Callithrix jacchus: one gene and its partner. The protein of the gene in region 1 purifies or fractionates together with the protein of each later gene. This does not show direct contact. Links are inferred from orthologs where the notes say so. Each region holds a gene or a part of one and is shown in the gene's direction. Other genes may lie near its edges.

Region 1 (3,816 bases):
TGACACTCTCAAAGCGATTGGTCACTACGTAAAATGTGTCTTTCTCTTGTTTGTTTCCCACCTGCTTTCCGAGCTCCTTTCTCGGACAGGTAAGATATCCTGTTTGTTGTGGATGACTTACATCTCCAGATGCCCTCCTCTGCTTGAGTTGTATGCATGTTGGCGGGGGGTGCTGTTGGGAGGGTCACCTGGCTGGGATGCAGTCATCTCTCTCTCCTTCATTGCCATTATTTTCTGAACCACCAAGCGTCTAGTCCTAGGGCAAGAGGGACAATGTGTGGGGATCATTAGAGCCATCATCAAGAAAGGGACCCATTGTACATCCTCAGACGTGGGGATAAAGTGACCTCCAGCCAGAGCCCCACTTCCACTTTGAATAGAAGGGCAGTTCTCCTGGTCTAACCTCAAGAGCCCCTGAAGACCACTCCCATAGAGGGGGTTTTGAGTGGCTTTTATAAATGGAGAAAGACTTGTGAGCAGTTTCCCTACAATGCCAGCCCATCATGCACGTTTTAAGAATTCATAGAAAAGTCAGATTTAGTTGAACAAACTTATTAAATGGCTATTAAAGGCTCTACATGCAAGACCCTAAGCTAGGCATTGTGGAAGATGAAGAAACACTTCAGATGCTATGGCCTCTCAAGGAGCCTATCATTTTAAGACTGGGTGTATTTACTGGAAAGATTTAGACAAGTGTGAAGTGCATGATAGGTTATATTTCAATTACTTGAGAACTCAGTGCATTTTATGGAGTATGTTATGAAGGATAGAGAGCAAAAAATGCAGGAAATCCAAAATGGTGGATAATCCAGAGTTATGTTTATTACTAAGAGTCTTTTTTTTCTTTTTTTTTTTTTTGAGATGGAGTTTCGCTCTTGTTACCCAGGCTGGAGTGCAATGGCGCCATTTCGGCTCAGCGCAACCTCCGCCTCCTGGGTTCAGGCAACTCTCCTGCCTCAGCCTCCTGAGTAGCTGGGATTACAGGCACACGCCACCATGCCCAGCTAATTTTTTGTATTTTTAGTAGAGACAGAGTTTCACCATGTTGACCAGGATGGTCTCGATCTGTTGACCTCATAATCTACCCGCCTCGGCCTCCCAAAGTGCTGGGATTACAGGCTTGAGCCACTGCGCCTGGCCTACTAAGAGTCTTTTAAAAATAATAGCTCATAATTTAGGAATCACCTTGGCAGGCGTTTTTGGTGCTTGCCTTTTTAAAACCAAATAGGTCTGCTGCGAAAATTCACTTTAAACCAGTAAGGAAGCCAGCAAGGAAATGTCTGATTTGGGAAGTGGTGGCAATTTGCCTTCCCCAAGCATTTTGTATGGTTACATTATAGTCTATGTACTTTCTGGTTTGGGGGATTATAGTTAAATGGTTTGGTTTCCAAATCTTCTTTGCTAGTTTGCGATGACATGATTAAAGAAAATAAGAACAATGTGGGACCTGACAGGCAAATTGTGCCAAATTGGATGATGTGGCAAGATATGCACTTAGGAGAATCATGAGGAGTTGACCCTGCTTGCTGTGGAGCGGGCTGGAAGCTTCTGCTAGAGTGGCGGGTCCATCTGGAGCCCAGCCAGCTCAGGTCCTATGTCCAAGGGATGCTGTCATAGTGTTCCCTGGCCTGACCTCACCTTGCAGTGGTGAAGATCGCAGGACTCATCTGCAGAGAGCAGTCTCCACTCCTCTTCCCACAGCTTTTCCTCCCTGCCACCCAAAGGCCCTTAGAATATGGCATATCTAGGTAGTTGGCCTAGCAAGGATAGCGCCACTGAAACCACAAAAAAGGTTGCTACCGGCCCAGGATGCAGCAGTGTAGGGCAGAGAGAATTGCTTTACATAACAATTCAACAGAAGAAAAACTGTACCCTAACCCCAGTTACTCTTAGAAGAGGCTCAGTGAGAATAGACACTTAGCAGAGGTGTTGACAAGGAGAGGAGCCTAGTGATCAAATGGTCCAGTAATCGTCTTCCCTCAGACTGACAACTTATCTGGGGTAGTTGTTATAGACAGAAACCTTGATCCAGGTCCCAAGGCCTCAGAGTAGGTCTGGCTGCCTGATGACTAAGCTGGATTTCCAGATAGGGAGAGGATGCCCAAGTGTGAGTGTGTGGACAGCATGGCTTAGAGCCTGGAGCTCCAGTCATTTCAGTAACAAACTTTGGAGCTACTATCTTGCCCACCACAGTTTTCTATCTACAAAATGGGTGTTGGCGATTCAAGATCTGTATTGAGCACCAGCTATGTGCCAAACCCAGGCTGGGCATTGAAGATACAAAGATGAATGAGGCATGGCCTCCTTGCAAATCTTTATGACCTAATGGGTTTATACCCAGCTCTTTGAGTTCAGTTTCAAGCCAAAGAGGACCCCTACATGAAGGACCATGTACCAGACATATATAGGCAGCTTTCCATGATTCAAAGCAGGGCGGAGTTGTAGACAGAGCCCTGAGCTGTGGGTTAGAAGGCCCGAGTTCTAGTTCCAGCCCTGCTGCTATTTAGCTGTGTGACCTCAGGCACAGCACTGTATTACGTGGAGTCCCGCTTGCTTCATCTATAGGTAGGTATCCTTCCATGCACCACCTCCCTAGGCGGTTGTAAGGATTCAGTGAGCTGATGTTCACTAGGATCCTCAAGCTTCACTGGCACCGAGCACCTATCCATTTGGTAGGAACTGATTCTGAACCACCACTTAGCATCTCTGCGAGAGCTGGCCCACTCGCTCAAGTCCTACCTCTGCAGACCTGAGGAGGGGCTGCCCCATTTTTCATGGAGAATATGTGCTGTATGCCCAATACCCATACCCCTCTGTCCTTCAATGGGGAGCGTCTAACACCAAGCCTCATCCATGCCATCCCTCCACCAGCTTCCAACCCTCTGAGAGCTCAGCACGTGCCCAGGGCGATATAAAAATGTCATGTTTCTTTGCTTCATCCTCATTTTTTCTTTACTTCAAAGGGCCTGGTGATTCCAAGGTAAAGCGGGCAAGCCATGAGTCAAGGAGGCAGGTTTAAAGGAATAATTTTATTTTTTTGTGGCTAGGATTAGTCCCTGATTAACGTGGATGGGGCAGAGCTAGAATTTCTAATTCCTCTGCCATCAAGAAAACTGCAGTGGAAAGTTCAAGAGTGTCTTTGCTGGCTCTTTCTTGAATGTTTCCAAAGCCTGGAAGGTTCTAAGTTTTGGGTGTGGCGTAAGGAAAGCTGAATGATAGGGCACAGGTCCTGCTCCCCTTTCCTCATTCTGTCTGTCTGTCCCCTCTTTGTTCATAGTTGACCATGGCATGTTTGAGAATCTGAACACAGCCCTCACTCCAAAGCTCCAGGCCAGCCGCTCCTTCCCCCACTTGTCCAAGCCCGTGGCCCCCAGCTCTGCCCCTCTGGGCTCTGCTGAGCCTGGGGGGGCGGGACTCTGGGTGGGCAGCAGCCAGCACCTCAAGAACCTGGGCAAAGCCATGGGGGCCAAAGTGAATGACTTCCTGCGGAGAAAGGAGCCCTCCAGCCTGGGCAGTGTGGGTGTGACGGAGATCAACAAGACCGCAGGAGCACAGCTGGCCAGTGGGGCTGATGCGGCTCCAGGTGCCTGGCTGGAGGAGGAAAGGTAAACCCCTCACCCGCCCAATACCCATGCCCCTCTGTGGACCCAACTGAAAAGGTGCAGGGACAAACTGCAGTGTCTCCACAGGACAACAGCCCTGAGGAAGAGTTGTGAGATTGTCCCGTACAGAAAAGCTGCAGGATCAGGCCACACTTGGGAGCTGACTTCACCTTCCACAGCCACAGCTGAAGGTTGCTGAGTACCCACCATGTCC
Region 2 (3,162 bases), on another chromosome or scaffold:
CAGTGTCACCACTGTGAGCATCTCCCTGGCCTATCTGCTAGTGCTTCTCATCCTCTTGCCCGCTGCATAGTTCTCCATAATACTTCTCACCCAACATAGTCCAACATATCCATCTTTATTTATTGGATTTTAAATAAGGGATTTGTTGCATGCACTGAACATAATATTTTGATGTGTTTGCAACTGGCTTCTGTCTTCACAGTTTCTTAATTATTCCAAACTGGAAAACTAGATAATATCGTCCTCTGACTCTTACCATAATAGAAGTCACTGACATTTTGCCCATACTTAATTTGATTAGTCTTTGTCCCTACAGCCACAGTGTAAGCTCTGTGGAGGCTGGGGTTTTGTCTGTTGCTCACTGTACATGTGACAGTGCCTGGCAGGCATAGTAGGCCTTCAATAAATGAATCAGTCAGTGGAATGAAGGAATGAGTGGAACTTGTCGTTCTGTGCTGAGATTTTCTGTGTAGATGTCTGTGCTGCTGCTTGTCTAAGCCTGTTAGCAGTAGAGGCCCTGCTTTGCTCTTCTCTGGGACCCCAGGCCTCTCAACTCAGCCCAGGTGGAGTGCTCAGCAAGATTCCCTGTTCCCTGGTGTGGGCCACATGTGTGAACCAGAGGGGAAGAGGCTGGTCCTGACCAATTGTTTGTCTGTTTCTGTCTCAGAGGAGGCTGAGGATCCTGCCTGTATCCCCATCTTCTGGGTCAGCAAGTGGGTGGACTATTCGGACAAGTACGGCCTTGGTAGGTTTCTACTAGAACAGGTGGGTGACTCAGGTACAGCCAGGTGACCTTTCAGTTGTTACAGACTCTGGCTTTTTTGGGCTCCCAAGTTCTCTTCTTAGTGCTCTCTTCTCTCCATCCCAGGCCTCCCAGTTCCAGCTCCCAGTGCTCCCTGACTCCCCTACTTTTTTTTTTTTTTCCAGAGACAGGGTCCTGCTCTATCGCCCAGGCTGGAGTGCAGTGACGCAATCATGGCTTACTATAGCCCTCAAACTCCCAGGCTAGCTCCTGGCTTAGCCTCCTGGGTAGCTGGGACTACAGGCGCACACCACCGCACTCCACTAATTTTTAGAATTTTCTGTAGTGATGGGATCTCATTATGTTGCCCAGGCTGGTGGTCTCAAACTCCTGGGTTCAAGCAATCCTCCCACCTCAGCCTCCAAAAGTGCTGGAATCACAGGCATGTGCCGCCTCACCTGGCCCCACTCCCCACTTTCAATTCCCTCTTTCTGAGGCCTCTCTCCACCAATCTCTAGGGTATCAGCTGTGTGATAACAGTGTGGGGGTGCTTTTCAATGACTCAACACGCCTTATTCTCTACAACGATGGTGACAGCCTGCAGTATATAGAGCGTGATGGCACTGAGTCCTACCTCACCGTGAGTTCCCATCCCAACTCTTTGATGAAGAAGGTGAGTGCCATCCTGCCCAGGGGGCGTGGTGTTGTGGGAGTGGGACTTGTGCTAGAGGGTCAGACTCTAATTCTAGAACCCCTCCCCTACTTTTCATCCAGATCACCCTCCTTAAATATTTCCGCAATTACATGAGTGAGCACTTGCTGAAGGCAGGTGCCAACATCACGCCACGTGAAGGTGATGAGCTTGCCCGGCTGCCCTACCTGCGGACCTGGTTCCGCACCCGCAGTGCCATCATCCTGCACCTCAGCAACGGCAGCGTGCAGATCAACTTCTTTCAGGTGAGCTGGAGGTCACCAGAGGCTGGGGTAGGCTCCGTGTGCCTGGCAGTGGCCCATGTGAGTTGAGTGCGGAGTGAGCGGCTCAGGTACCTATACCTGTTGTGTCTTCCCTCTGCTCCCTAACATAAACTGGCCTCTGGGATCACCAATTGCTGCCCCCTTCTCTTACAGGATCACACCAAGCTCATCTTGTGCCCACTGATGGCAGCCGTGACCTACATTGACGAGAAGCGGGACTTCCGTACATACCGCCTGAGTCTCCTGGAGGAGTACGGCTGCTGCAAGGAGCTGGCCAGCCGGCTCCGCTATGCCCGCACCATGGTGGACAAGCTGTTGAGCTCGCGCTCAGCCAACCGCCTCAAGGCCTCCTAATAGCCTCCCTCACCTCTGGACTGGTGCCCTCCTCACTCCCACCTGCATCTGGGGCCCACACAGGTTGGCTCCCATGGTGCCATGTCTGCAGTGCGCCCCCCAGCCCTGGGGGCTGGGCAGAGCTGCATTATCCTTGCAGGTGAGGGTTGCTGTGTAAGTTATTTTTGTACATGTTCAGCTGTGGGTTCTATATCTTTGTCTCTTCCCCAAAACCCCACTGTATGAATTATACAGGATATTTCTATTGAATTTGGGACTGTCCTTTCTTGGCTTTATATACATTAAACAGATGCAAATCTTCTTTTTTTTGTCTTTCCTGAGGGGTAGGACCTGGGCTCCAGGGAACATCTCTGCTTCATCAGCCCCAGGCCGCCCAGTCTCTGCCAGTCTTGGGTGGTGTGCTTTTTGAGACACTGTCTCTCTGTCCACCAGGCTGGAGTGCAGTGTCATGATCGTGGCTCACTGCAACCTCAAACTCCTGGGCTCAAGCGATTCTCCCACCTCAGCCTCCCAAGCAGCTAGGACTATAGGCATACACCACCATGTCTGGCTAATTTTTAAAATTTGTTGTAGAGATGGGGTCTTGCCATGTTGGCCAGGCTGGCCTTGAACTCCTGAGCTCAATTGATCCTCTCACAGCCTCCCAAAATGTGGGGATTACAGGTGTGAGCCACTGCACTCAGACTGGCAGTCTTTTCTGATTCCGAGGCCAGCTACAGTCTCAACTCTTCAGCCAGCCAGCTTGAAGACCATCTGTGTGGTCTCTGGCCCACCTCACCTCCCTGCGGCCCCAGGGCATGGTCCCCTGGCTTCTGACGCTGGCAGGTAGTAGGGCAAGAACAGGCTCTCGGAGGTGCAGCTCCTCATGGCTTGGTGCGTATGAAGGAGCAGCCGTGGGAAGCGGTTTGTGAAGTACTGAACGAAGCCGTCAGGGATTTGGCCAAGTGCCTGTCGCACCTCGACTGGGAGCTCCCTGTAGTGGTGTTTCTAGGGTAGGTAGAACAGAGAACCCTGGCTAAGCTGCAGCCAGGCCTCCCCAAGACCCAGGCCCACCCAGGCCCCAGCACATACCTTGTTCCTCACGGCACGCA

What was found.
Region 2: the proteins of C18H1orf226 (region 1) and PLK1 purify together in Homo sapiens (affinity purification with mass spectrometry; 3 studies listed by BioGRID and IntAct, counting the BioPlex papers as one, with this or other methods). This does not show direct contact. The link is inferred for Callithrix jacchus from reciprocal best matches to the Homo sapiens genes C1orf226 and PLK1.

Annotation. Positions count from the first base shown.
Region 1 is NC_133519.1:22,230,866-22,234,681, forward strand, and holds part of C18H1orf226 (uncharacterized protein C1orf226 homolog), read left to right. Parts: coding exon 1-89; intron 90-3,277; coding exon 3,278-3,605; intron 3,606-3,816.
Region 2 is NC_133513.1:24,296,965-24,300,126, forward strand, and holds the end of PLK1 (serine/threonine-protein kinase PLK1), read left to right. Parts: intron 1-667; coding exon 668-745; intron 746-1,260; coding exon 1,261-1,415; intron 1,416-1,516; coding exon 1,517-1,699; intron 1,700-1,870; coding exon 1,871-2,071; 3' UTR 2,072-2,372; downstream 2,373-3,162. Other genes in the region: ERN2 (serine/threonine-protein kinase/endoribonuclease IRE2), read right to left, coding at 2,846-3,058, 3,143-3,162. UniProt on the Homo sapiens protein: Serine/threonine-protein kinase that performs several important functions throughout M phase of the cell cycle, including the regulation of centrosome maturation and spindle assembly, the removal of cohesins from chromosome arms, the inactivation of anaphase-promoting complex/cyclosome (APC/C) inhibitors, and the regulation of mitotic exit and cytokinesis.